Linked DNA regions of Pelodiscus sinensis. The protein of the gene in region 1 interacts with the protein of each later gene in a pairwise test. Links are inferred from orthologs where the notes say so. Each region holds a gene or a part of one and is shown in the gene's direction. Other genes may lie near its edges.

What was found.
Region 2: the proteins of MXD4 (region 1) and MAX interact in a two-hybrid assay, tested with the Homo sapiens proteins (2 studies listed by BioGRID). The link is inferred for Pelodiscus sinensis from reciprocal best matches to the Homo sapiens genes MXD4 and MAX.

The regions. Positions count from the first base shown.
Region 1 is NC_134715.1:117,917,989-117,933,531, forward strand, and holds the start of MXD4 (max dimerization protein 4), read left to right. Parts: upstream 1-7,461; 5' UTR 7,462-7,523; coding exon 7,524-7,665; intron 7,666-7,703; exon of another isoform or gene 7,704-7,817; coding exon of another isoform or gene 7,818-7,880; intron 7,881-8,111; coding exon of another isoform or gene 8,112-8,178; coding exon 8,179-8,278; intron 8,279-15,543. UniProt on the Homo sapiens protein: Transcriptional repressor. Binds with MAX to form a sequence-specific DNA-binding protein complex which recognizes the core sequence 5'-CAC[GA]TG-3'.
Region 2 is NC_134714.1:129,398,592-129,413,791, reverse strand, and holds the start of MAX (protein max), read left to right. Parts: upstream 1-6,742; 5' UTR 6,743-6,895; coding exon 6,896-6,931; intron 6,932-7,010; coding exon 7,011-7,037; intron 7,038-15,200. UniProt on the Homo sapiens protein: Transcription regulator. Forms a sequence-specific DNA-binding protein complex with MYC or MAD which recognizes the core sequence 5'-CAC[GA]TG-3'. The MYC:MAX complex is a transcriptional activator, whereas the MAD:MAX complex is a repressor.

The DNA.
Region 1 (15,543 bases):
CTTACCTTAAACAGTTTATTTCAGGTATAAGCTTCAAACCAGAGACAAGCTCTTACTGTGACACGCGTAAAAAAAATGACACGCGTAAAAAAAAATAGAGCCAGCAGATTGTAGATTACATGAGATTATTTAAAGCATCTTTGAGTTATGCATATTCATTTTCACAAGCCAAATTTTATAAAACATCAGGGCAGGGAAAGGGCTATTCACATTAACTCCAAGTCCTGCACCTGGCTGACTCACCCTAGAAAGCCCCAGAGGCCTATGGTTTTGAAAGTGGCCGTTAATTTGGGGTTGCCAAACCTGAGACACTTTGGGCCTGATTTCTGAAGGCAGTGAATTGAATAGGAGCTGTGGGTGCTCAGCATCTCTGTATATCAGACCAAGCATGTCTCAATTTTGGCACTTAAAATCAGTCACCACTGTTGTTTTCCTTAACCTCTCTGTGTCTTAGTTTTACAGATGAGCAAACCAACGTAGTAACTTGTACCGTAAGTAACATGTGAAATTAAATGTCAGATATCTGACCACATACAGGGAGAAAATTGTCCTTCCATCCCTGTAGGCAGACTCCTTTTCCTGTGTGGAGAGAGACCTGTATTCTTTATTGGAGAATTACAATACCTTAACAATACCTCAAACCAAAAACCCCAGAGGGACTGCCCCAAAGTCACAGCAAAGCTCAGGTATTGACATGGGGAAATGCCAGGGAAAGAAAACAAAAATAGATAAATAGCATCTAGCTACAACGAGACACATCCTGAAACTACGGCAAAGGACAGAGTACAAAAGGATGCAGGTAGTGAACTATGAATAAAAGTGTTCCAGAGTTAGAAACCTTACCTCTACAGTCCTTGAAAGGTTTTAACTCAGGATTGTAAGTAGTACCAACCATACTCTTTCAAATGCTGTATCAGGACATAAGGCAAATAAAGATCCCTTCAGAATGGGGCTATGTTATTTAAGACTTTAAATACTACCAATAAGACTATGAATCATACTGGATAGAAAAGAGGCAGCCAGAGCTACTTTCTGCTTCTACATAAAAAGTCGCTTAAATTTTGCCCTAAACGATAGCTCCATCACTATAGACCAGCTGCTTCTTAAGCCCTTGTCATTCCTGTTGCCAGTGCATAGAACAGAAGTTGAAGATGGAAAAGCAGTATGTAAGGGCCCCAATATAGGAAAGGTTTTAAGTACATGTTTCTTTTTCTGTATATGACTAAGTCATTGGGTCTGATTCTTCTGAGATGTATATCAATTTTATGCCTGTGCATCTCCACTACTTGAGTGGAGCTACAACAAGGGAAGCATCACACCTATAACATTTATATTATTGTCTTGCATCTTACAAAAATATAAATGTGGTGAAAGGTTTATCAGTATTCATGTGGGAGGACCTGAACATTCATGACTGCACTGATCATGAGTAACATGTGGTTGCCAAAATGATTCTGATGAAATCTTTAGTCCACACAAAATCAACATGACTTCCATGTGTACATGCACACCCATGCTCATAACTTGCTTAAGCAAAATCATGTATTCTGCATTTCCTAGGATAGTATGTGTAAAAAATATTTAGGAATCCCCTTTATATGCTAAATGCAGTTGATAAAGGTAATTTAGCCATGTATAGAAATCATCTGCTTTTTGTCATTGTGGTGGCATATGTGCTCCTCATCACAGGTGGGAGCCTCTTCCTGAGTGGGATGCTACCTGATTGGCCACAAGGTAGCTAGCCATTTCTACAGTTCACGAAATAATCAGTCTCCAGGGAACCCCGAGCCCACACATGACCTTGTCCCCCAGATCGTGTCACCTAATGGCCTAAGTCAGTAAGAAGCCCTCTAGTCCAGGGAACATGGCACACTGGCTAGGGTTGATAATGTTGGGGCTAACATCCTGGTAGGGGAACCTGGGTCCACCCTACTCCACCAGGTCTCGACCCAGGGTCCTGTGAGCAGCAGCACTGCCTACCACTCCCCCGGCAGGGAATCTGGCAGAAACACACCAAGGCTGTGTCTATACTGCACCCCTTTTCCGGAAAAGGGATGCAGATTAGACACATCTGAATAGCAAAATCCACGGGGGATTTAAATATCCCCCGCGGCATTTGCATTTACATGGCTGCCGCTTTTTTCCGGCTTGGGGATAAGCCGGAGAAAAGCGCCAGTCTAGACGTGATTCTCCGGAAAATAAGCCCTTTTCCAGAGGATCTCTTATTCCTACTTTCAAGCCGGAAAAAAGCGGCAGCCATGTAAATGCAAATGCCGCGGGGGATATTTAAAGGGTAAATTTGGAGTAACGGGCCCTGGGGAGGAAGAACATAAAACAATGCTCAATTATCTTAAAACAACTAACTTCAGCAAGAACCTGATTCTGTGGCAGCCCCATGAGTTCAACGGCAGAAGTATCCGTGTGGCTCAGGCTATGAGTGGTAAGTCTTTGAGCAATTCTATGTCCCCACCAATCAATGGACCATATTTGCTGCAGCATGGTATTAGTGGAGTCATTTACACCTGTTCAAAGCTGGTGTAAAATGCTACCAAATCAGAATTATAGGGCAGCCTGACTGCTTCTCATGTTGTCACCACTTACACCTATATAGAATGGTGGTCAAATGCGGTATCTCCATTTCAGTAGCATTTTATAGTTATTTTACACTGGTGGTATATCTGGTGACACAGTATACACCAACTAAAGAACTGGGCCTACTGTCTTTGCATATTTAGCATAAATGAATCCTGGAAAGAGATTTAACATCTCAGTTTATCTGAATGGCTTTTTTTAAAAAAATAAAAATAAAAACAGGCAGCTTATAATTTATTTGCCATCTCTTTTTTGTTGCACTGATAAGCCTCAAGACAGTTAAGACCAAAGCAGATTGTGAAGAGATTCAAAAAGTTCTCAACAAACTAAGTGATTGGGCAACAAAATAGCAAATGAAATTTAATGTTGAGAAATGTAAAGTAATGCACAATGGAAAAATAACCCCAACTACACATACAATATGATGGGGACTATTTTAGCTAGAACTACTCAAGGGAGAGATCTTGGCGTCATTGTGGATAAATCTCTGAAAACATCCACTCAGTGTGCAGTGCAGTCCAAAAAGCAAACAGAATGTTAGGAATCATTAAAAAAGGGATAGAGAATAAAACAGAATATTTTATTGCCTCTATATAAAATCATGGTACACCCACATCATGAATACTGCACAGATGTGGTCACCTCATCTCAAAAAAGATATATTGGCATTGGAAAAGGTTCAGCAAAGGGCAACAAAAATGATTAGGGGTTTGAAGTAAGGATGTTAAGTAATGGTTAATTTACTAGTCAATAGGCACTTCTGCATTCCTCCTTTGAAATGTACAAGAGCCCCTACTGGGAACTCCGCATGCACCCCGGGCCAGTGGGAAGTCCCGCTGCCTCTGGGCTGCATGCGGGTTCCAGCTTTGAAATGTACAAAGAGCACAGGCTCTTGTATGTTTCAAAAGAGGAATGCAGAAGTGGACAGCACTTCACCACTGAGCTGGGGATCAGCTGTGCTGGCACTGCCCCTTTGAAAGCCGCCTCGGCATTTCAAAGGGGCAGCACTGCACAGCTGATCCCCGGCTTAGCTGTGCGACACTGTTCCTTTCAAATGCCGAGGCAGTGTTTCAAAGGGACAGTGCTACACTGCTGAGCAGGGGATCAGCTGTGCAGCACTGCCCCTTCGAACACCACCTCAGTGTTTCAAAGCAGCAGTGCCACACAGCTGATCCTGGGCTCAGCTATGTGGCGCTGCCACTTTGAAGTACCACCTCTTTCCCCCTCTTTGCTGCCTCCAGCTGATAGAGGCAGCTGGGGAGGGGGAGGAAATCAACTAGTAGACTAGTCCTTAACATCCCTAGTTTAGAGTGGTCCCATATGAAGAGGGATTAAAAAGACTTGGATTTTTCAGTTTAGAAAAGAGGAGACTAAGGGAGGATATGATAGAGGTCTATAAAATCTTGACTGGTGTGGAAAATATGAATAAGGAAAAGTTATTTACTTGTATCCAGAATATAAGAACTAGGAATCACTAAATGAAATTAATAAGCAGCAGGTTTAAAACAAACAAAAGGAGGTTTTTCTTCACCCAGCACACAGTCAACCTGTGGAACTCCTTGCCAGAGGATGTGGTGAAGGCTAGGACTTTAACAGGGTTCAAAAAAGAGCTAGATAGATTCATGGAGGTTAGGTCCATCAATGGCTATAAGCCAGTATGGGGAGGAATGGTGTCCCTAGTCTCTGTTTGTCTGGAAATGGATGACAGAGGAGGGATCACTTGATGATTACCTGTTATGTTCCCTCCCTCTGGGCAGGGGCGGATATACGGCAGGGCGAACGGGGCGGCCGCCCCGGGCCCCGCACTTCAGAAAGCCCCGCGCATGCGCCGTGGCACCGCTGCGCATGCGCATGGCGTCACTGCGCATGCACCGTGGCAAAGGGGGGGCCCCGTGGAAGTATGCTGCCCGGGGCCCCGCAAAACCGTCATCTGCCCCTGCCTCTGGGAGTGGCATTGGCCACTCTTGGCAGACAGAATACTGGGCTACATGAACCAATATGGCCGTTCTATGTTTTTATGTTCTCTTTTGCCGTAAGGTAAACAAGACGGGCCATGTCTACCACCTTTTCTTACACTAAATAGTTCTTAATCATTCATATAGTTTTACTGAAGTCAATAGACTACTCATATAAATACTTTTCAACAAATGCAGAATTTGGCCTTGTTTGACTGAAGAAGTGATGAAATCAAATCATGGTCTGTTTTAAAAAAATTGTTTATATGTCCTGCTTTTGTTAAAGTGAATGAATTCTGCACTAAGAGCTATATAGACAGGCCCCTGCACCTGAGAAAAGCCATTTCTCCATATGGAGTCCAGCTGATTTATGGGATTCTGCATGAGCCAACATCTTTCCCAGGATACCTTGCAGCACAAAATTGTGCCTACAGAGATCTCAGTGCAGCATCAGAGCCTACCTGAAGATAAGGGAAGGAAAGTACCACTAACTTAATGTTTATTAATGTACTTTTCCCCCTTTGTGCTCCTTCACGTTAGCTAACAAGTTATGTGATGTACCATATTCAGATCCACAAATGGACAGAAACAATAGGTAATGAGGCCCTAGTCTATCCATGACAGGTTACTTTTCAGATGCATGTTCCTTAATTCCTTCAAAAAAGAATTAGACTGAAAAAAATCTGCAATATTTAAATCTAAAATGAAAATTATCTGTTTTTCTATACATCCTAAAATGCTTTTGGCCGAGGAAGAACTTTTGATATAGGCAGGCTATTCTCTAAGGCTATGTCTACATTGTACGCTTATTTTGAAATAACTCATGTTATTTTGAAATAACAGAGTGTGCGTCTAAACAGCGAGCCTGTTATTTTGAAATAATTTGAAATAATTTAAAAATAACAGGCTTCTTACTCCGACTTCTGTAACTCTCATTTTATGAGGAGTAAGGGAAGTCAAAAGAAAGTGTTCTTCCCTCGACTTCCTGCTGTGTAGACAGTGCCAAAAATCGAGTTAAGGTACTTCGACTTCACTTATGCAATTAACGTAGCTGAAGTTGCGTATCTTAACTTGACTTTGGACCCTAACTGCCTACTGCAGGGTTTCTTGCACCTTCCTCTGAAGCAGCTGGTACTGGCTTCTGTCAGAGACAAATTGCACCAACCAGATCACTGGTATTCTATCTTCCTCAAAGGATGGGGGGAGGGAAGGAGTACTTCTGTAGTCAGCCTGCCAAAGAAAGTGTGTTAAAACCGTCTAACCCACCCCTAGCCTTTGCAGGGAGATGGCAGAAAGGCCATTTGCCTCCTGTGTACTGGAGGCCTGTCTGGTTGCAGTGCATAAAATATACATTATGCCTAAACCATGCACTGTTAAGAAAATGCCTACTGTCATCCTAAGCAGAAGCAGGATGGAGCATCAGTTGCGTAAATAAATTGCAAACTCATGTTTCCCCGTAAACTGCTCCACAGTACTGGTTTCTTTTTTTGGTAAACTAGATAAGTACAAAATGCTACAAGCACAGTATAAAGCATCCTGGGTGGTTAGAATGCATGTACTCTTGCTACTGCTCAGCTTTTACTTGCTACAGGATGTTTTTACTTTCCATTTAGCAACACCCCTATGACAGCAACAGCCATCCAGTCATGGGCTGGCTACAGATGTGTATTTTATATAATGGTAAAACAGTTCTCAAAATATATTTGCTTATTATGTGCATATCAATTATTATTTACTGCTGTATCTGTTATTAAATCTGAAAAGCCCATTGGGATGAAAGATGCTATAAAATAGTTTATAACCTGAAGAGTTTGGACAAAGTATAACCAACAGAACAAAGCCTATTTGATTTATTGGAGTAAGCATCCACTCTGAAAAACAGTGGGTTGTTTTCACATGTGGATGCCACTAAAAGGCTTTCAACTTTGAAATTGGGACTCTGTGGACTCATAAATTCAGATTTCATCAGGATTGGTTCAGATCTTTCTGGAGCACAGAGATGGGTGGGTTTTTGGGGTGAGACTTTTAAAACAGTTCTGTGTCTTCTGTGAGAACACTTAAATCAAATCCAGAATATCTGAAGTTGGTCACCCAAAAATCAAAGCACCAAACTGGAACAGTTTTGGCTTGAAGAGCCTATGGTCCTTTATTGTAAGAGCAGGAAATTTACCCTGGTAAGGTAAAAGCAAAACCTCCTTTGCCAGATGCATTTGCCTTACTTGCTGCAGCCCTTCCACCCAGAGGTGGCTGCATTTGGTGCTGCTATACTACATAGTTTAGGTACTTTATCATCTTTTGTCAGGCAAAGTTATCTCTATATAACATTCCCTGCATGGTGGATTCATTTTCTTTTTTAGGTCATGCATCTGATTACAGCTAGGGAAGGAAAGAAAGGGACCGTAGAGCTTCTATTCGAGCACTCTAGTGTTTATCCCCAGTCCCTAACTGAACTGCAGCCCGATCTTCTCTTCCTCACAGCAACACAATAAATCCACCAGCAGTACGGGTAGATGGACCCCTCCTCCTTCACTTTCCTGAGCGCCTCCCCTTTCACTTGCTTGAAACAGGACACACCTCTCCAAAACTGTTGGCTAGTTTCAGCTGCTTATTTGCATAGACTCCTCATCTCCAATCAGCAATTGCTGCCTATTTAATATGCATAAAGCCGGCCACTCAGTAGGCTGGGGGCCGGGCCACCACGTGCTGTTGCTAAGCTTCGGCTTCTAAATTGTTACTGTAGTGGCTGGCCTATCAGGGAGAAGATTCAGATCTGTCAACATTCTGTTTCCAAACCTGAGGGAGCTTGTTTTTCCTGATTGGTTCTACTTTGGAGCTAAAGCCCGCCTCTTTTTAGACATGCCGTCCATGATTGGCTATGTCAATCGCCTGTCGCCTGTGTGTCAAATGTAGGTTGAGAGAGGTGGTTTATATAGGGGACTTGGAAGTCCCCAGCCTGTGAACTCAGTGCAGTTTCTGATGCTTATTGCCTTCCTCAGCTGTTTGAAAGGCAGACAATCAGATACAGAGTTTGATAACTCAAAGAACACATATAAAATGGAGCTGAACTCTCTGTTAATTCTTCTGGAAGCAGCTGAGTATTTGGAAAGAAGAGACAGAGGTATTCAGAAAAAATGACTAGCAGGCACTTATAACATTTAACTCTCTTTGTTGCGTGGGTATTCGGACGCCCTTTTCTCCGAGTCCACATTTCCTTCACCTGCACAAGTGCCCTATGTTTTTGTTAGATGCACTGCAGAGGGGGCAGAACAAATGCAGTTTTCTTGCAATTTTTTTAAACAAACAAGCTATGGCTCGAATCGGTTTGGATTGTATGTATGTTGAAGTTTTCATATATGTTACATTGTTGTGTGTTGCCGTTTGCGATTGTATTGCAGTTTTCCCCTTTCCCTTGTCAAAATGTTTCAAGATTTGCATGATCTAGCCATGTTTTACTGTTTACTTAGATGATCCTCCTATTTTGGCACTTTTCGTTTTGTTGTGTTTCTTTTAAAAATCCGGAATAAAAGCTAAACAAATCAACCAACATTTTGTTTTTTACCCTAGCGTTCCTGCAAAGGAGGAAAAAATGCATGGAAAAATATATTGCCACTAATGCTGACTTTGTCCCTAGAAGCAGAACATGGCTATGCATCAGTGTTACCCTTCGATAGTGACTATTCCAGAAAGAAAACAAAGGCAGGCACCCTGGCCAGAAAATCCCAGAATAACAGGTAAAAGCTGTACCATCGTTTTCTACAGTGAATTAGCAACTTTTCCTATATGTGTAAGTTTATGTGCAGCTCATAGATGTATACAAATAATAACTAATCCTGTCGCTTAGTTCCCAGTAGTCGCCATTTTTCCCCTGTATGGGCTTGGCTCTGTTTTGATCTCTCATATAAACACTGCCACGCGTACACCATCGCCTTAGCACTCACTGCCTTTCTGAACCATCTGCACTCACGCGTCTTCGCCTGGTTTGTTTATGAATGTGCGCTGTTTTCCCATGCATTTTAAAATAATAATCAAAATCCTGACTTCCCTTGCATGACACTAATTCCCTCCCAGGACTTATTTACAATCTCTTTATTGCTGCGAGAGCAAATACAGCCTCCAGTTGCAGTGTAACGCCGGGATCTTGATGAGGGGAGAGTGGGGGGAAAGGGATGAAAACGTGGCTCCAATTATACTGGGACTTTTGTATGCATTTTAAAATGTTTCGAATGAACTTGACCTCTGCGGACGGTCTGAGGCATTTTTGCCCTGGTCAGTGCAGCAGCTGCCTGAGCGAGTCGCTCCGCATGCAGCATTATTACAATGCATAGTTACATTATGATCAGCTGCTTTTTGTTTGTTTGTTTGTTTCTTGCAGCCACTACCTGTGCTGTGATCACCATTAGCTCAAGGTTTCTGCGCAGCCTCCCTGCAGCTTTGTTTGGCTGACCAGGCAGTGCTCAGAGTGCAACTGTCTACGTGCAGAAGGCTGTCTTAAAGAGACAGCGCCTCCTCTTTACGTGGGAATTCCTTCTTTTCTTGCACTTTATGTTCTTGAGGGGGGAGGAGACCAGATGGTTCCCTCCTTCTGCAGACCATTGGTGCTCTCTGCTCTTAACAAAATGACTCCTTAAAAAAATTGTTGTTGAATATGATGAGCCCTGCAGAATAGCCTAAAACAAACAAAACTTGCATATGACATTTTTCAAATGAAAGGAAAGTTGGCAAAATTCTTTGATCTCACTTACTCCAGCGTAAATGCTGCAGAACCCCAGTGTAGTCAGTGAGATTGCTCTGGATTTACACTGGTGAAATGGGAAAGTAGAAATCGGCCCAGTCATGGATATTAAAGTTTGAAGATATGAACTAAGCAAAAAGCAAACAGCTTGCTCAGAAAAATACAAGATCACAATGAGCTGTGTTTGCAGTAACCACTGCAGGGAAATGTGCTTGAACACGATTGAGGGGAATAGAAGGTGTAAATCCTTCCCCTGGCCATCCCTGACTCCAAATAGCGATGAATGCTGATATTTCTGGGAATATACATTCAGGAGTGGGGGGAAGTAATAGTAAAATTGGTTACAAAGATACAATATCAGTTGATTTTTAAATGTGAATTACCAGGAATCACAGAGGTGCCTAGATTTTGAGACACTGTTCATCTATATACATGTTACCTCTGAATTTTTTGATAAAGTAACCATATTGTGCAAAAGCAGTTATTTAAACAGGATTCTAGGGTTTCAATTCTAATTCTAGAGTTTGTGGATTTGCTCCAATCCTTGTTTCTTGTACGGAAGAGAGAGAAATCTGTATTACTTGGGGAACCTTCATTCCATCATTTCCTTTCTTGGGTTTCTTGCTGTCCACAGCAAAACAGTTCTTTGAATTTTTAGCAGAGGATATATAATCTATCAATTTCAGCAGAATTAAAAGATTCCTTGTTAGAGGTTTGACGGGCTTATCAAAGCCAGAGCACACATCATTACTGACGGATTGTCTGATATTTCTCCTAATATTTTTTTCACTCTAATGCTTGCCACGCACACACAAACGCTTTTAAAAAAATGCATAATGATCTTTTTATTGTTTTATTACCAGCTTTATTTGTTACAGACTAAAAAGGGCTCATTCATAGTGTGTGTGGGATAGGGCAATACCTCTGGAGAAGTAGGTTCAGCCGTGGCTAAGGCCACAAATTCAGTCTCCATGTTTAGTTCACCGTGGATATTTGTCCACATCCTAAAGAAAACAGCAATCTCTATAGACAGTCTCTATAACACAGACCGACCCATGGCTGGAAATAGCAGGTTGTTGCGATACGGGGTTGAGGTGCATTGGCAGAGGTGTTTGAGCAGTCCTACATTGTGCTTGCCTACAACATGCCTGTTTTTATCTGTTACTTAAGCTCGTAGGTTCAGATGCAGCTTTATTTCAAATGTATGATCCCAAATTCAAATAGTACCACCTCTCTTATTCATTTTGGGAGCATAGGCGCTGGTGCTAGGGGTGCTCAGAGTCTGCTGAACCTCTTGGCTTGAAGTGGTTTCCATTAGATACAGGGTTTACAGTTTGGTTCAATGACTTGTAGCACTATCCAAATTGTTCCAGCACCCTTGTTTGGGAGCAAATGTCAGGTTATTCGGTTGTCAGGTCACAGCCTCAGAGTGCATAGAATTTGAATGTATTGTTCAATTTGATCATGCAATCAAATCTTTATAAGCAGTTCAAGGGATTAAGAAGGGGCTAGACAACTGGCCAGATTTCGGACGATCCTGAGTGGAAAAGAATAAAATTAACTAGTCAGGCAACCCTTTTTTGGCTGGTTTATTTTAATCACTTTACAGAATCTCAATGCATGGATAGGTGCAGGCATGATTGGGTGTGAATATCTGGAGGGCCATCTCTTTGTGCTCTGGAGTTGTTTTTTTAAAAGGTGGGGGGAGGGCGACTGCATATTGCAAAATTGCAGAATGTTATTTTTTCAGTAACTTGGTTATTTCTAAATCCTATTTCTTCTAGAAGTCTCAGCAGGTTTGAAAATTAACCTTTGCCTATATCATTTGAGCACAAATAAAACACATAAACAATTGTTTTTAAAGCTTGAAAAGCATCTCTTTCATGCAAGGATAACTCCAAAGTGGGTCACAGAATTGTATTGAATTTAAAAAATTAAATTAGCCTCTGGACTGAGAACAAGCATGAGAAATTTCAATTCAAATCTCTCCTCATACTTAAAAAAAAAATAACAGGCAATTGGACACAGGTTCATATAGGGAAAAAAATGTTTCTTCAGCCACAGCTGTGACTATTAACAAAAGTCAGCTCACTGAAAGAGTTCATATTTTGTATATTTTTGTTTGTTGATGTTTTTGTTTAAAATATCACTCGGTGAGTTTTAATTTTATGTTGCTATAGAAAACATTTTCATGTTACTGTGAAGACAGCAGAAAATGTTGCTTGATGACATTTTTGCCCCATCTCTGTATAAGAAATATTAGTTTTTAATAGATTGATGTATACATTTCCTTATGATGTCCAGTCCGTTGCCCTTGAATCAGGCTATATTTATATGTTCCCACTTTATACAAAACAGACTTGAAAGGGTTTTTTAAGAAAAACTTCTTTGTGTCTATGGCATTCTCTCCTAAGGTTCAGAAGTGTTTCCCCCAGATGCTTATTATGAAAATTCCTTAGTAGATTAAACTGGATTTTTGGTTTCCAGTCTGAATGGATGATTCGAAAAAGGTGCAAGTTTGTAATTGATTTTTTCTGGGGGAGGGAAGATAAACCCATGTCAGCGTCTCTTGTAATGGTGATAACTAGACATTATTTGGCCATTGTGTAGTAAATGTCTCCTTTGGATAGAGTAATAATAGTAGTTCCTAAAAGCAATACAGTGGAGCTTGTTAAAATTATTGCTAATACACAATTGGAATAAAATCAGGCTAGAAAAAATTCAGTTAGTAGAGTTGTGCCTTGGAGGTTGCAATGTTAAATTTTCAAATGTCTTTCCATGTAGTACAGTGAGTATAATAAAATGGATGTATTACAGATGTCTGCAGTTTGTTAAGAGGGAATATTTCACAGAAGCAGAAAGTCAAAGAAGTTCAGAAGATTACTTGGTTGCAGAAAGTCATTTGTAAATAGGAATTCACTGTAGCTTGCAGATAATTGGAGCTTTCTTGTTTTGTTTCCTGTTTGTGATGCCGACTTAACAGAGATAAGCCTATGCATTTTTGTGTTTATATAAGGGGGAAAACCGGTAGCCTGAACTGACCCCCTTGTGGACAGTGGCCCACAGCACAGTACAGTTAGACAAGCCTGATTCTCCATTGCCTGGTACTTTGTGCAGTCTCTTATCACTGAACAGTGGGTGTAAAACACTATAATTTATCTTCGCATGAGTGTAAAAGACCACAAAGCAGCAGACGATCAGGCCCAGTGTGTGTTCTGGCCAATGAAAAGATAAGAAGTAAGTAAATATGCAGAATAAAACCTTAGTGCTCGATCCCTGACTATTGGGGCACAGTTAGATTTACTGGCAGAGCAGGAAACTGGAAGTCTGTGAAGTAGCCTGCTTGGCCTATTAATTTAGAAGCCGATGAAAAAGAGGGGAAAATGAAAGCAAAACTTAGATTTATAAATATCCCCACTGCCTTGATTGAAACTAATCAGTATTTATATTTGATATTTTATATCAATGGATATAGTTGTGAACAATGTACTGTGCTCTGGTGAAGGATATATGTGCAAAAGGATGTGGTGGGTCAAAACTGCACGTTTCAAATGAAAATATTGTTTAATGTCTCCATTGCTTGTCTGTCACTGCAAACCAGTCTGATTTCTGTCTGACACTGCTCTTTGCAGACTAGAAGTGTGTGAATTGTTCAGCTAAAATTCTTTCAGCCAAAAAATGCAGATTTGGGTCAAATGAAACCTTTTGTGAATTTGTATTGACTTTGTGGTGAATTGTTTGGTTGCATTGGAAAAAAAGGGGGAAAAACCCTTCAGAAATGTCAAAAGCAATCGTTTTGACATTTCTGAAGTGTCTCATTTTGATTTTTTCAGGCGAGGTTCATACACCAGAAATAGTGATGGTGTCCCTCTTATAACCATTAGCTTAGTACATAGGGAAGTAACCTGGGATGACTGTAGAGTCCTACTGTCTCTGGCCAATGGCTATTAAAGTACAGATTGTACCTCTAAAATCTGGGATTCTCTGGTCCGGCAACATCCATGGTCCGGCACGCTTCAGGGGAGTGAAGACCCGGAAGCTGGTGGCTCATTTGGGCTGCAAGGTGAGAGCCAGGAGCCGGCCTGCAGCTCAGTTGGGCTGCTGGAGTTGGCGTGCAGCTCAGCGGGGCTGTGGAGGAGTGCCAGGAGCCGGCCTGCAACTCAGTTGGGCTTCAGGAGTTGGCTTGCAGCTCAGCGGGGCTGCGGGGGAGTGCCAGGAGCCAGCATGTGGCTCAGCTGGGCTGGGAAGGTGTGGGAGCTGGCGTGTGGTTCAGCTGGGCTGTGGGGAAAACCAGGAAGTGGGGAGAGGAAGCGGGGAGAGGCCCCTGAAATGACCACCCCGATCTGGAAAAATCCCTCATCTGGGACTAGTCAGGTCCTGAAGGTGCCAGATCAGGGATGTCTAACCTGTGTTTCATATAAAATGGCACAGCTCCAGTGCAGATGGACCTCTAGATCCAGAAGGAGTATTTTAGAGTTTGGGACTTATTTTCTTTCATTTATTAAATGACAGTCTGAGAATAAAATAACTCAAAATCCAGACTGCGGAAAAACAATGATGTGTTTTGCACTCTCTGAACTAAGTGTATCCTTCTTGTTTATTTTTTTCCCCTAGGAAAGTGAGTCCTGAAGGAAAATTATCTATATTACTGAACGTATAAAGCAAATAATGCTAGTCATTCTTCTGCTCTACTCTGCGCTGATTAGGCCTCAATTGGAGTATTGTGTCCAGTTCTGGGCATCACATTTCAAGAAAGATGTGAAGAAATTGGAGAAGATCTAGAGAAGAGCAACAAGAATGATTAAAGATCTAGAGAACATGAGCTATGGGGGAAGACTGACAGAACTGGGCTTGTTTAGTTTTGGAAAGGAGAAGACTGAGAGGGGACATGACAGCAGTTTTCAGGTATCTAAAAAGGTGTCACAAGGAGGAGGGAGAAAAATAGTTCTCCTTAGCCTCTGAGGATAGGACAAGAAGCCATGGACAAGGGAGGTTTAGGTTGGACATCAGGAAAAATTTCCTGTCAGGGTGGTTAAATGCTGGAGTAAGTTTCCTAGAGAGGTTGTGGAATCTCCATCTCTGGAGATATTTAAGAGCAGGTTAGATAGATATCTATCAGGGATGGTCTAGACAGTACTGGGTCCTGCCGCGAGGGCAGGGGACTGGACTCAATGACCTCTCAAGGTCCCTTCCAGTTCTAGTGTTCTATGATTCTAGTGCTGCATTAATCAAATACATCTTGTAAGTTGAGGAAGTTTCTTATGAGGAAGTATAGTATGTATGACAGCAGCAGTCATTATGTGTTTTGTTTAAGTCACCTAATGACATGCAATGTCAGACCTCGCTCTTACATACAGATATGTCATACAAACTCTACAGTCTCACTAGAGTCAGAGTTCTGCATACAGGACTGCGCCAATGCATCCATTTGTGGAATCCTAGCCTTTTTCCATAATATTGGCAAAATTCTGCTTTGAGGTGGAACTAAAAGAGAAATAGTTTTAAGAGTTATGATGTGATAATTAAAGAAAAAAAAAGGAGGGGAGCAGTCAGACTCAAAGAATGCAGATCTGAGGTTGTGTTTTAACCACTCAAATATCAGGTAATCCAAAGTTCATCCCGGGTCTTGCAATGTGCCCAGCTGCAGATTGGTATGCTGGCACCAAACTCTAATAAAGCCAATTGAGACCTTAAAGTTGAAAATGTATTCTCCTTCTCTCTGTATGTCTATTACATTGTGTAACTCCAGCACATGCTGGTCATCAGCAGGCAGAATTGAACCTGTGTCCTCTGGAGCATAGTACATGAGCCTCTACCACCCTGGTGTCTAACCAGTTCTGTGCTATAGTGAACTAGCCACACTCAACTGGCTAAAAAGTTGCATGTGGCTAGTGTGTTGGATTCCACGGCTCTGCCACATGTGTCTACTACCAGAGGCTGGAGAGCAGACTGCTTATTCTGTCTCTGTAAATGGTTTCAGTGCCACTATATGGGACAGTACACCACACCCAGGAGGTGTGTGGGTTACAATTGCAGACTCTTATTAGATGATCACATGCTGTTTCCTAAATAATACATTGTCACGTTTATTTGTGTGCTTTTCCTCCATTGTGGATATATGCATGTAGCATCTTGTGGGGCTTACCACTCTGTTCTTGTGTTTTGGCCTTGCCTAATATTTCTTAAATATATTTTCAATGCTGACAACACACCAGTATTGCTAGGCATCTCTTACCGTCATTTTAAGCACACTGTCCATGAGAC
Region 2 (15,200 bases), on another chromosome or scaffold:
CCTGCCACACTAGTAGGTACAGCTAGTGTGCGGGGTCACACCGCATGGCTCCCGGAACACTCCAACTCATCATGCAGTGACCCCAGCATGCACCCCCACACCGGACCAGGCCCTGCGCTGGCCCCTCCCCCGACACTGGAGGGGGTCCCACGCCAGCATTCTCCCTAAATAGTTTGGGTCCTCCTCCCCCACATGGCTGGGTCTCACGCCGGTCCCCTCTCTGTACCCAGTCAGATTCCACACTAGCCCTCCCTCCGCCCCCACTGCAGGTCCCTCTCACTTCACACTCCAGCTCCTCCTCTGAGCCCCCTCCCTTTCAACTCCAAGTGTCACCCGCACACACTTGCAGCAGGTCCCTGGCCCATGGGAGCTGGTGCTTCCCCAGGGCTGAATCTCTTTTTCACACCCCTCTGATTTGCTACTTGACTAAGTGCCTCAGGGATTCGGCGCCTCTGCCTTGGCAGAATGAATCAAGAATCAAAGGACATGAAGAGAAGAATGTCATGTGTTGCTTAATCAAACATCTAGCCAGAGGAATTGGAATAAATTTGATCTCGGTGCTACTGAAACCCACTGTTTCCTCTAATTTTTTTTTCCATTTGTATGCAGAATAAATTTTGTTCTGTGCACCAAGATATGTGCAGATGTGCACCACCAGAGGACACACACTGCCAGCTGTGGGCACTCTGCTAATCAGCTGGGCAGCACTGGACTCTCTCCTGGGGGCTGCCTAAGTGGGCCGCTGATGGGAACCCTACTGAGACCCAGAGGGATGAGTCTCACAGCTGGGTGTTAAAATCAATGGTGATAGCCTATTTAGGAAGGATTCAGTGAGCAAAAGGGGGGAGGAGGGACCCTCTGTGTCAAACCTGGCATGTCCTGTTTTCAAGGCACCAATAACATGGAAGAAAAGGACCTTGAATGCTTATGGGTCCTAACCGATAAAGCTCACACGATGGGCATAGGCTGTGAGTTTATGTGAGCCTGTAGTACCTGGGGGCCCAGGTCCAGCAAAGTTCGGGACTGGGTCTCCCCTGGCCCCACCTACTGCCTCCATGCAATTTAATGCCCCCCCCCCCCCCGGCCTGGGGATTTCATCTCTCCCCTGGCCCCACAGGGAAGGGGGGCTGCCTCTGTGCACTGCAGAGTCCTGTGGGGGCAGCACATGGAGACCACCACCCTGGGGCTGCAGGGATGCTAGTGCTGGGGGGCCACTGGTGGCCGCAGGACCCCGCAGACCATTTTAAATGGCCCTGGGGGCAGCAGGCAGGGCCAGGGACAAACCGGGGGGTAGGGGGGAGTATGGAGACTCTAACCATCTGGAGCCATTGCCAGAGGGCGGTGCCCCAGGTAAGCCTGGCATCCCAACCCTCTCACATACCCACATTCCCTCCCAGAGCCTGACCCCTCACCCCCCCTGCACCCACATTCTCACCCAGAGTCTGCACCCCTGCAGTCCTCACGCACCCCAATAGCCCAACTTCCTCCCAGAGCCTGTACCCCAGTGCCTTGCCCTAGCCCAGAGCCTGCACCCAGCACCCAAATTCTCACCCAGAGCCTTAGGCAAGTGGGGGGAGGGAGTTTGAGTGGGGAAGGGGGTGCGGGCTCTGGCTATTTTGGGCACCAACAGATTGAAGACTGGGTATTAGCGTCTGCTACCAAATCACTCTTGAGGACTAGCACGATCAGCTCCTTACACACCTATCAATAATTGTAGGAAAAAAGGTTGCATGATCATACACTGGAAATCTCATGCTGCCAGTACTAAAACATCCTTGAAATGTCTAAATAATATAGATAACAGTTTCCTAACTCACCAATTGTTGCATCCAACACAGGCCCCTCTACATTATATGTTGTCTTGACAGACACCAGAGGAACTGACAAAAATTAAAATGAATGATAACTTAGGATCGTGACCTGTGAACAGAATAAAGTCCATACCATATATATATATACAGGGCTCGACAATTAGGGCAGGACAATTTTAGCTTGGTGCGGCTGCGTAGCACGGTCAGCACATGCGCAGCGCGGTCTGCACATGCGTAGCGTGCGATTCCACATAGCTGGTGAGTAGGGCTCGCTGCCGCTTGGCGAGCCCTGTGTGTGTGTGTATATATATATATATATATATATATATATATATACACACACACACATTAGTTTCCTTAAAAGGGCCAGTTTCACAAACCTGAAAACAATTATAAGTGAAATCAGCTGGGAGGAAGATTTTAATCAGAAAAACATGAATGATAATTGTATGACAACATTTTACTAGATGCCCCAAAAGCCAAAATTAAGGAAGAAAACCACATTATTTAAAAATGACCTGATTTAGAAAGGAAATGAAGGCAACTATAAAAATGGTATATAACAGATGGAAGAAAAAAAGTGGATAGTAATGACTACAATCAGAAACTAGGAATTGTAGAAAATGGATAAGGGAAGCCAAGGGACACAAAGAGACCTTTATGGGCGAGAGTTCGGGACAAAAAAAGAAGGAGATTTTAAAAGTACATTAGGAACAAAAAGAATCCTAACAATGGTATTGGTCCATTACTAGATGGAAATGGTAGAATCTTATAAATATTTTAGAAAGTGTTTGTTTGTTTGTCCCAAAACATCTCAGAAACGGTAAGAGCTAGAAATACAACATTTTGCATGGATACTACTGATTTCCTAACTTAAATAACAGGATTGGTTATATTCCGAAATCCTCGTGGAATGAGGAGTAACGGTAGTTCGGACTAGGAAGCCTAGTCCGAACTACCTAGTTCATGCCGCGTGTAGCCGCGCTGCACGGGGTTCAAACGAGCAGGGATTTAAAAATGGCGGCGCCCAGTTTATGCAAATGAAGCCCGGGAAATTCAAATCCCGGGCTTCATTTGCAAGTGCAGTATGCCTACATTACCCCGCTAGTTCGAACTAGCGGGGTAGTGTAGACATACCCTAAGAGAAAAGTATTTCCAATCAAATATGCTATAATTGACGTAGTTCAATGAATTAGTGAACTGGCAAGATTTAGACGGAGCCTGAATCCGTAGAGAGGCCAATATAATTGACGTAGTTCATTCATCACACCTTTTACTATATTTTCCCCGGGCGACATCGGGTATTACTGTTAGTTATAAATAAACTTGCACAAAAGGCAAGTGTTCAATAAATATTTCTTATTGTATTTGGAGGGAAAAAGATGGTGTAGTCATGCTATATATTTTTTGGGGGAGAGAAACAAACTTGGCAAATGTGTTTCATGATGACAGTTGGTTAATAAAGTTGTCCTCTCTCACTGACATTTTCTCAATTTTAACCAAACTGAATGTGACTATACAAGGAGGAGGCAATTATTTATTTTGAAACTGGGAGCAGATACACACATTCCAAAAGACATTAGCACTGGGGCAAACACACCTGAAAAACAATCACCCAAGCTATGACATGTTCCCAGCTCTGTTACGACACACAGAGGAAAACAGCATCAGTGAAGAAAAAGCGAATGAAATGGAAAGTGTCACATCGTGACATCTCACTGTTCTGACAATTTTTGTCACCTGTTTCCCAGCAGAAGGGTTTGAAAATTGAAATGAAACGCGTTGGGTGAAAGATCCTTCTGCTTTTGGAAATCCTGGCTCAGTAACGGAGCTAAATGTGATTCCTGATCAAGAAAAAGTTGCTGCAATGCACCTGTGATCACACACTCAGAATATGCCACCAGACGTTGAAATGTGTCATCATTTTGGATAAGTGTTTTCAAAGACTATCCACTGTTACGTAAGATTAGTGTTCTGTTGTGGTCATGATTCATAACAGCCTACCCATGCACGCTGGGATTTTCAACTTTGACAAGGTTAAAAACAAAAGGAAGAAACTGACTCAACAGCTCACCTGAGGTGCATCTTTTGAGCCAGACTGGGCCAAGATCCTGATCAATAGGTAGGTCCACCCAGCACGTTATGTAAGTGAAAAGCCACTTTCCTGCATTTCTCCTGTATTTAAAAATGTTTTACAAGTAGTGTCACTGTCTACTTCTAAAGCTTCAGAGGGGGAGCCAAGTTAGTCTGTAAATGGAAAGACTTAAACAACAACAAAGAATCTGGCAGCACCTGAAAGACTAACAAAACATGTAGATGAGATCCTGAGCTTTCGTGGGCACAACTTCATCTGAAGAAGTGGGTTGTGCCCACGAAAGCTCATGATCCAATCTACATGTTTTGTTAGTCTTTCAGGTGCTGCAGGACTATTTTGTTGTTTTTTAAGTTTGTCTAATTCTATTGGAACTTGAAGTGATGAGGTTTAAGCTAGCATGTCTTGCTCTTTGTTGTGATTTGATGATATTATTGTTTGGGTTGTGGGAATAAGTATTTTGCTTCCACTGTATCTCTCTCTCTCTCTCTCTCTCTCACTCACTCTCTCACACACACACACACACTCTCTCTCTCTCTCTCTCTCTCACACACACACACACACACACACACACACACACACACACACACACACACACACACACACACACACACACACACACACACGACAGGGTTATTGGCAGAGGGTTGCCAGATACTTTCACAAAAAATACCAAACATGGCAGGAAAAAAAATAAAAACCACACAACCTCCCCCCGCCCAGTCACTGCACCTTTAAATCCCCACACTCCCCTGCCCCCACCAAATGCGGCAGGGGAGGAATGTCCCAAGCAGCCTTCCATCCAAGAAAAACAGAAAATACCGGACATTTTACATGTGCAGTATTTTCTGTTTTTTTTTTTATCAGACAGAGGCCACAAATACAGGACTGTCTGGGCCAATCCCAGACAACGTGGCAACCCTACGTTTGAAATCCAGTGCACAGCATGGAGGAGTTTGCTCAGCCTCAGTCCTTGAGTCTCCACAGGCTTCCTTGAGTGAGCCTCCCCTACTTCATTTGTGCCTCTCTCATACTTTCCCTCTCCTCCAGTCCTGCTGCTGGGTCCCAGCACTGGCTGTGAATTTGAGGGATGCTCCCGCTTCCATACTTCAAAACAAATGAAGGGGCCTTGAATTCACCATTCAGAGGAGGGCTCCACCCAGCTCCTCTCAAAGGACTCCTCCACAGCTGACCCAGTGCAAATAGATTTGCTGTCCTTATTTGTGTCCTGCCATCAGACCCACCCACAGCACTGCAGTCCTAAATACTAAAGTCACCCACACACTACTGTCCCGCCTGCCTTACGAGCTACCCCTTTTTATCCAAACCAGCACCTGGGCCCATCTTTCCGACACCTTCACATGGAGATCCAGGGATCAACGTGGCCCAAACTGAGCGCCTGACGTCCCCCCAAGCCAACTTCTCTTTTCTCTTTCACTGTGGACACTGCCCCGACAGTCCGGGCTTGGCCTCTCTACGGATTCAGGCTCCGTCTAAATCTTGCTAGTTCACTAATTCATAGATTCCAAGGTTGTGATAATCAATTGTGTCTTCCTGCCTAAAAGGGGAGAAAACTGCCCCCAAATAAATCCTGGGCAGGATCCCCCCCCAGTTCAGTCTTTGGGGACACTGGGCAGAGCCACCCCAGTGTGGGCATTGTGGGGTCTGAAGTCAGGGGCCACTATTCGGGGCATGTCTTTAGTGGGGGGAGAGGCCTTGGCCATTGTCCATCCACGTGGGTTGTGTGAGGGCCCTCCTTATGAAGTTGGTGGGGTCTATGCCCTCTAGGTGCAGAGAGCCTTGGCCACGGCCCTCCCCTCATGTAGATACTGTGCCCCCTAGGTGTGGTAGGGGCCTCTGCTGAGGGTGCAGGCTCTGGGTGTGACGGGATGAGAGGCTCGGGATGCAGGAAGAGGCTCAGGACTTGGACAGAGGATTGTGGTATGGCGGGGGAGTGAGGGTCGTGGGCTCTGGGAAGGAGTTTGGGTACAGGAGGAGACTCCGGGCTGGGATATGGGAGGTAGTCGGGGGTATTTGGACCTGGCAGCATCTGCTGCAGCTCCTAGGAAGTAGCACTCGAAAGTGCTGTCCCTGCAGCTTCCAGTGGTCATGGCTCCTAGCCAATGGGAGCTGCAGAGCCAGCACTCCACACGCTGCCCCCCCACCCACTAGTGACAGCTCCGCAGCTCCCATTGGCCAGGAACTGTTGCCAAGTGACAGCTGTGCCGCTCCCATTGGCCGGGAACTGGGACCACTGGGAGCTGCAGAGGCTGTGGACCGCACCTTCCCGTGCCTAGGAGCCGCAGGGGTCTGGGAGCTGGGTGGAGCCAAGGGGGCTGGGCCCCCTCCCTGCTACCCACCCGACTTGTAACCGCCCAGGTGGCTGGGCCTTTCCGCCGGGCGCTCCAGCCAAAAACCAGCTGCCTGGCCAGGCCACCCGACCCCTGGTGGGCAGGCGCCTGGGAGACCCCCATTGCTGTGCAGGGTGGGGGGGGCTGGGGCACCCAGCGAGGGCTCCGCGCCCCCTAGGTAGGGCAGCAGCCCTGAGCACCGCCCCTCCCCCCCCCGGGAGGTGCTGAGCAGGGTGGGGAGCCGCGCAGTCCCCGCCTCCCATCCACGTGTCCTCTTCCCCGCCGAGTCCCTTCCTCCTCGCCCGAGACTACAACTCCCGGCGTGCGCCGCGCCGCCGCCTCTGCGCCGGCGCCGGGGGCTGCGGGGCCGCGCGCGGGGCCCGCCGGGGGCTGTAGTGCGCGGCGCCGGCCTCCCGCTCGGCGGCCGCGGCGCGGCGGACTCCAACCCCCAGCAGGCCCCGCGGCGGGAGGCGGCGCTGGCGGTCACGTGGCCGGGAGAGAGGGGGGGGCGGCGCACGGTGGAGCAGGCAGCGGCGGCGGCGGCGCGGCTGGGGCTGCGGGAGGCGGCTGCGCGGTGCGGGCTGTTGTTGTGGCGCCCCGCCCGGCTCGGCTCGGCTCGGCGCGCCCGGAGGCCCGGCAGCATGAGCGACAACGATGACATCGAGGTGGAGAGCGACGTGAGTGGCGCCCCTGCCCCCCCCGGCCCGCCGGCCGCCCGCCAGTAACGCGAGTGTCTCTGTCTCTCTCTTATTGCAGGACGAGCAGCCGAGGTTTCAGTCTGCGGTACGTGCTGCCTTCGCGCCCCGCCCGGCCCGCGAGCGCCAGCGCCGGGGGGGCAGGCCGAGTGCGCCGCGGGCGGGCCGGGGAGCGGACCCAGCTGGCGCTGGGCTCATGTGATCCCGGGCGGACGGGGGTGAGCGGCCGGGGCTGGCGTCCAGGCAGGGAGATGAGTAGGGGGGTCCGGGACCCAGCAGAGCCGGTATCAGGCGATGTGTAGGGGGGTCCGGGACCCAGGAGAGCCGGTATCAGGCGATGTGTAGGGGGGTCCGGGACCCAGGCGAGCCGGTATCAGGCGATGTGCAGGGGGGTCCGGGACCCAGGAGAGCCGGTATCAGGCGATGTGCAGGGGGGTCCGGGACCCAGGCGAGCCGGTATCAGGCGATGTGCAGGGGGGTCCGGGACCCAGGAGAGCCGGTATCAGGCGATGTGCAGGGGGGTCCGGGACCCAGGAGAGCCGGTATCAGGCGATGTGCAGGGGGGTCCGGGACCCAGGAGAGCCGGTATCAGGCGATGTGTAGGGGGGTCCGGGACCCAGGAGAGCCGGTATCAGGCGATGTGCAGGGGGGTCCGGGACCCAGGAGAGCCGGTATCAGGCGATGTGCAGGGGGGTCCGGGACCCAGCAGAGCCGGTATCAGGCGATGTGCAGGGGGATCCGGGACCCAGGAGAGCCGGTATCAGGCGATGTGTAGGGGGGTCCGGGACCCAGGCGAGCCGGTATCAGGCGATGTGTAGGGGGGTCCGGGACCCAGCAGAGCCGGTATCAGGCGATGTGTAGGGGGGTCCGGGACCCAGGAGAGCCGGTATCAGGCGATGTGTAGGGGGGTCCGGGACCCAGGCGAGCCGGTATCAGGCGATGTGCAGGGGGGTCCGGGACCCAGGAGAGCCGGTATCAGGCGATGTGCAGGGGGGTCCGGGACCCAGGCGAGCCGGTATCAGGCGATGTGCAGGGGGGTCCGGGACCCAGGAGAGCCGGTATCAGGCGATGTGCAGGGGGGTCCGGGACCCAGGAGAGCCGGTATCAGGCGATGTGCAGGGGGGTCCGGGACCCAGGAGAGCCGGTATCAGGCGATGTGTAGGGGGGTCCGGGACCCAGGAGAGCCGGTATCAGGCGATGTGCAGGGGGGTCCGGGACCCAGGAGAGCCGGTATCAGGCGATGTGCAGGGGGGTCCGGGACCCAGCAGAGCCGGTATCAGGCGATGTGCAGGGGGATCCGGGACCCAGGAGAGCCGGTATCAGGCGATGTGTAGGGGGGTCCGGGACCCAGGCGAGCCGGTATCAGGCGATGTGCAGGGGGGTCCGGGACCCATGAGAGCCGGTATCAGGCGATGTGTAGGGGGGTCCGGGACCCAGGAGAGCCGGTATCAGGCGATGTGCAGGGGGATCCGGGACCCAGGAGAGCCGGTATCAGGCGATGTGCAGGGGGGTCCGGGACCCATGAGAGCCGGTATCAGGCGATGTGTAGGGGGGTCCGGGACCCAGGCGAGCCGGTATCAGGCGATGTGCAGGGGGATCCGGGACCCAGGAGAGCCGGTATCAGGCGATGTGCAGGGGGGTCCGGGACCCAGGCGAGCCGGTATCAGGCGATGTGCAGGGGGGTCCGGGACCCATGAGAGCCGGTATCAGGCGATGTGCAGGGGGGTCCGGGACCCAGGAGAGCCGGTATCAGGCGATGTGTAGGGGGGTCCGGGACCCAGGAGAGCCGGTATCAGGCGATGTGTAGGGGGGTCCGGGACCCAGGAGAGCCGGTATCAGGCGATGTGCAGGGGGGTCCGGGACCCAGGAGAGCCGGTATCAGGCGATGTGTAGGGGGATCCGGGACCCAGGAGAGCCGGTATCAGGCGATGTGCAGGGGGGTCCGGGACCCAGGAGAGCCGGTATCAGGCGATGTGCAGGGGGGTCCGGGACCCAGGAGAGCCGGTATCAGGCGATGTGCAGGGGGGTCCGGGACCCAGGAGAGCCGGTATCAGGCGATGTGCAGGGGGGTCCGGGACCCAGGAGAGCCGGTATCAGGCGATGTGCAGGGGGATCCGGGACCCAGGAGAGCCGGTATCAGGCGATGTGTAGGGGGGTCCGGGACCCAGGCGAGCCGGTATCAGGCGATGTGTAGGGGGATCCGGGACCCATGAGAGCCGGTATCAGGCGATGGGTAGGGGGGTCCGGGACCCAGGAGAGCCGGTATCAGGCGATGTGTAGGGGGATCCGGGACCCAGGCGAGCCGGTATCAGGCGATGTGTAGGGGGATCCGGGACCCAGGAGAGCCGGTATCAGGCGATGTGCAGGGGGGTCCGGGACCCAGGAGAGCCGGTATCAGGCGATGTGTAGGGGGATCCGGGACCCAGGCGAGCCGGTATCAGGCGATGTGTAGGGGGGTCCGGGACCCAGGAGAGCCGGTATCAGGCGATGTGCAGGGGGATCCGGGACCCAGGAGAGCCAGTATCAGGCGATGTGCAGGGGGATCCGGGACCCAGGCGAGCCGGTATCAGGCGATGTGTAGGGGGGTCCGGGACCCAGGAGAGCCGGTATCAGGCGATGTGTAGGGGGATCCGGGACCCAGGAGAGCCGGTATCAGGCGATGTGTAGGGTGGTCCGGGACCCAGGAGAGCCGGTATCAGGCGATGTGTAGGGGGGTCCGGGACCCAGGAGAGCCGGTATCAGGCGATGTGCAGGGGGGTCCGGGACCCAGGAGAGCCGGTATCAGGCGATGTGCAGGGGGGTCCGGGACCCAGGAGAGCCGGTATCAGGCGATGTGCAGGGGGGTCCGGGACCCAGGAGAGCCGGTATCAGGCGATGTGTAGGGGGATCTGGGATCCAGGGCGAGCCGGTATCAGGCGATGTGTAGGGGGGTCCGGGATCCAGGCGAGCCGGTATCAGGCGATGCAGGCAGGGAGATGTGTAGGGGGATCCGGGACCCAGGCGAGCCGGTATCAGGCGATGCAGGCAGGGAGATGTGTAGGGGGATCCGGGACCCAGGAGAGCCGGTATCAGGCGATGCAGGCAGGGAGATGTGTAGGGGGATCCGGGACCCAGGCGAGCCGGTATCAGGCGATGCAGGAAGGGAGATGTGTAGGGGGATCCGGGACCCAGGAGAGCCGGTATCAGGCGATGCAGGCAGGGAGATGTGTAGGGGGATCCGGGACCCAGGCGAGCTGGTATCAGGCGATGCAGGCAGGGAGATGTGTAGGGGGATCCGGGATCCAGGGCGAGCTGGTATCAGGCGATGCAGGCAGGGAGATGTGTAGGGAGATCTGGGATCCAGGGCGAGTTGGTATCAGGCGATGCAGGAAGGGAGATGTGTAGGGGGATCCGGGATCCAGGGCGAGCTGGTATCAGGCGATGCAGGCAGGGAGATGTGTAGGGAGATCTGGGATCCAGGGCGAGTTGGTATCAGGCGATGCAGGAAGGGAGATGTGTAGGGGGATCCGGGACCCAGGCGAGCCGGTATCAGGCGATGCAGGCAGGGAGATGTGTAGGGGGATCCGGGACCCAGGAGAGCCGGTATCAGGCGATGCAGGCAGGGAGATGTGTAGGGGGGTCCGGGACCCAGGAGAGCCGGTATCAGGCGATGCAGGCAGGGAGATGTGTAGGCGGATCCGGGACCCAGGAGAGCCGGTATCAGGCGATGCAGGCAGGGAGATGTGTAGAGGGGATCTGGGATCCAGGAGAGCCGGTATCAGGCGATGTGTAGGGGGATCTGGGACCCAGGGCGAGCCGGTATCAGGCGATGCAGGCAGGGAGATGTGTAGGGAGATCTGGGATCCAGGGCGAGTTGGTATCAGGCGATGCAGGAAGGGAGATGTGTAGGGGGATCCGGGATCCAGGGCGAGCTGGTATCAGGCGATGCAGGCAGGGAGATGTGTAGGGAGATCTGGGATCCAGGGCGAGTTGGTATCAGGCGATGCAGGCAGGGAGATGTGTAGGGGGATCCAGGACCCAGGAGAGCCGGTATCAGGCGATGCAGGCAGGGAGATGTGTAGGGGGATCCGGGATCCAGGGCGAGCTGGTATCAGGCGATGCAGGCAGGGAGATGTGTAGGGGGATCCGGGATCCAGGGCGAGCTGGTATCAGGCGATGCAGGCAGGGAGATGTGTAGGGAGATCTGGGATCCAGGGCGAGTTGGTATCAGGCGATGCAGGAAGGGAGATGTGTAGGGGGATCCGGGATCCAGGGCGAGCTGGTATCAGGCGATGCAGGCAGGGAGATGTGTAGGGAGATCTGGGATCCAGGGCGAGTTGGTATCAGGCGATGCAGGAAGGGAGATGTGTAGGGGGATCCGGGATCCAGGGCGAGCTGGTATCAGGCGATGCAGGCAGGGAGATGTGTAGGGAGATCTGGGATCCAGGGCGAGTTGGTATCAGGCGATGCAGGCAGGGAGATGTGTAGGGAGATCTGGGATCCAGGGTGAGCCGGTATCAGGTGATGCAGGCAGGGAGATGTGTAGGGGGATCCGGGATCCAGGGCGAGCTGGTATCAGGCGATGCAGGCAGGGAGATGTGTAGGGAGATCTGGGATCCAGGGTGAGCCGGTATCAGGTGATGCAGGCAGGGAGATGTGTAGGGGGATCCGGGATCCAGGGCGAGCCAGTATCAGGCGATGCAGGAAGGGAGATGTGTAGGGGGATCTGGGATCCAGGGCGAGCCGGTATCAGGCGATGTGTAGGGGGATCTGGGACCCAGGAGAGCCGGTATCAGGCGATGTGTAGGGGGGATCTGGGATCCCGGGTGAGCCGGTATCAGGCGATGTGTAGGGGGGATCTGGGATCCAGGAGAGCCAGTATCAGGCGATGCAGGCAGGGAGATGTGTAGGGGGATCTGGGATCCAGGGCGAGCCGGTATCAGGCAATGCAGGAAGGGAGATGTGTAGGGGGATCTAGGATCCAGGGCGAGCCAGTATCAGGCGATGTGTAGGGGGGATCTGGGATCCAAGGCGAGCCAGTATCAGGCGATGCAGGAAGGGAGATGTGTAGGGGGATCTAGGATCCAGGGCGAGTCAGTATCAGGCGATGTGTAGGGGGGATCTGGGATCCAGGGCGAGTCAGTATCAGGCGATGTGTAGGGGGATCTTGGATCCAGGGCAAGTCCGTATCAGGCGATGTGTAGGGGGGATCTGGGATCCAGGGCGAGCCGGTATCAGGCGATGTGTAGGGGGGATCTGGGATTCAGGGCGAGCCGGTATCAGGCGATGCAGGCAGGGAGATGTGTAGGGGGATCCGGGATCCAGGGCGAGCCGGTATCAGGTGATGCAGGAAGGGAGATGTGTAGGGGGATCTGCGATCCAGGGCGAGTTGGTATCAGGCAATGCAGCAGGGAGATGTGTAGGGGGGGATCTGCGTTCCAGGGCGAGCTGGTATCAGGTGTTGCAGGCAGGGAGATGTGTAGGGGGGATCTGGGATCCCGGGTGAGCCAGTATCAGGCGATGCAGGCAGGGAGATGTGTAGGGGGGATCTGGGATCCAGGGCGAGCTAAGCTGGGGTGATGCAGGCAGGGAAGTGTGTAGGGGGGATCAGGGGCTGGGGTCCAGGCCATGGGAGGACCTGTGAGGCTCGTGTGTTATAGGTATGGAGTGGGATTCGGAAGGGGCACGTGAGGTAGGATGGGACTGTAGGTCAGGCATGGTGGGATTGGGAAGGGGGGTTTTCTAGATCCGGGAGATGTGGGGTGGTGACAGGCGGGGGAGGTGGAAAAGCGCATCTGTAGCAGACACAGGTGAAGTGGGGATTCAAGATATTGTGGGAAGGAGGGTTTAGGCCCAGTGTGTTTGGGTTGGTGGTGTGTGAGATTGGGGCAGGCAGAGGAGACTTTCTGGGGGGAGAAAGTGTGAGAGATCCAGGGGATAAGTGGGGGTTTGTGGAGAGGACTGTTAGCCTGCTGTGCTAGGTTGGGGGGGTGAACAGAGGGGGATGTAAGCTGGGTGTGCATGAAGGAGGATTTGGAGGGGAATCTGACCCCACCCCTACTGTACACACTCATTCCAAAGTGTGTAGGGAATCTACACTGTGTATGTGGAAGAGATCTTGGCTAGACATAGCCGTGATAGAAGAGGGGATCTAGGCTGGGCTTGTGGGCAGGGGGAGTGAGGGATCTAGGCCAGCCAGGCATGCGGGAGGGGGATCTAGGCCAGCTGAAGGTGCTTGTGGTATGTGGGGGCTGGCTGAGTGTGTACACGTGGGGCGGGTCTCGGCTGGACATGTGTGGGGGAAATTGGGGAGGATCTAGGCTGGGCACGTGGAGAGGTTCTAGCTTGGGCATGTGCAGGATCTAGACCAGGGTGTGAGGAATTGGAGGGGGGCCCTAGTCTGGATGTGTGGGGAGGATTGTGCTGCAAGCCCTGTGTGCGGGGCTCGGCCCTGCCTGGGGGCGACTGGGCAGCGCAGGTTGGCTGCGGAGGAGTGACGGGGGGTCTCGCACACCAGGAGCTGTGTGGGTTTGGGGGAGAGACCCCTTTCTCTGGGGAGAGTAGCATGGAGTGTGCAGGAATTACTGGGCTGAGATCTTCTGGGACAGTAAATATGAATGGGTGACGCTGGCTCTGTCTTGGGGGCCTGGCTGGCTTTTTGATAAATGCATTTAGCTGGGCTGGTTTTTGGCCTCCCGAGCTGCGTTGCTGTCTGAGGTGTCCCTGGTCGGGTTTTCTGTGGGGTCTAGTCTGTAAATCCTGCTCTGCAAGAAGCAGCTCGTGGGACTTAGCTCGGCTTGCCAGGTTGTAGATCGCTGGGCCTTGTGGCTACCCGTCCGATTCCTTGGCTCGCCTTGAGTGTCGTTGTCTGCCTAGACGGTTAGATAGTTTGAGATCCCCTATTGATGCTTATCCCTGTACCAGGCCTTGCCTAGGCCTGTGAGATTGTAATAAATCGCTTGCTCCTTGAATCCTTTGGGGAATGGTGCAGGTTGGCCAAACACGTCTACCCTGTGTAAAAAGACCGTCCTCGGCTGCTCTTCGAATAGGTCTGGGCTGTTTCTGTTCACCCCTGGATGATCGAATTGAATCTTGCTGGCTGGCTTGAAATTGTGTGTGCTCTCCTCTCCAGGAGGCCTACGTCTAGGCAAGTCCTAGCTGTGTGATCGGCTTGGAAGGCCCTTGCCGATAGATATGGTTTCGTAAATACTCTCCCCCTGGCTGTGTGAACGACTCACACAAGCAGCAGGAACAGTGAAAGTGGCTACGTACACGCAGCTGTCAGGTACTGGAAGAAAAGAAACTGAAAGTCCTGGACACTTTTTCAAACCTTTCGGTTTCCGTGATCTTGGGTGTTTCTGGTAAGAACCGTAAGTAAACATGGCTCAGACGGAAGTGGTGGCTGCTTTTTTTTAAGAATCAGGAAGGATTTCAGGTCTCCGCCAGAGGGTGGCAGTGGAGAGGAAGCGACTACTTGAAGCCACGAATTTGCGTGGCCATGTTTATGAATCGCTCGGAATTGCAGTGAAAATGTCTCTTGTTGCAAATCTTCCTCCGCGGCGGTTGAACCCTAAACCCGTTGGCCTCCTGCTAGTGGGGGAGAAGCAGGCCGTGAAATGCTCTGTTTGCACTGCCCAGCTGGACTGAAATGCCCCCAGTAAATTAGCTTTCACCGCTTGGAGCGAGTTGGAGCGTCTACAAAACTCGGTGCTTGCTCCAGACAACTTGCTGAGAGTGGCTGGTGTGGGAAGTGCGGGGTGGCTGCTTTATTTATTTATTTATTTTTTAAGACAAAGGCTTCCTTAGAGAAGTCTTGGGAGCCAATGACTTTGGAAGTCCCTTTGTCTTCCCTTTGCCAGGTGGTGGAAAAGCCCCCCGTGAGCATTGGCTTGGGTTGTTGGCCTGGAGAAGAGCGATCCCCCCGCCGAGCGGTGCGTGGTTCCTTCCGCTCCCTTGCGAATTGATCTGTGTGTGGAACGTGCACCTTGCCCAGAGGGGGGGATGGGGCGCCGTGATACCCCGAGATTCAAGCTGCCGGAAAAGAGCTGCCTTGGTCAGCATTGATGGCCTAGCGCACGTGCCCCCCGATGCACCGTGCCGAGGGGCGCAGTCGCCGAGAGATGGTCCCTTGAAAGCACCCGCGCGGTTTGGGGGGGACCATTTCAAGGGAGATTTTTAAAAGCCGCCTTGTGGCAGCTGCCCCTCCTGGGATCAGGCCCTGGCTTGCCCTGCTCCGATTGGGGCAGGGTGTCTCCTGGCTGCCTCTGGTGGG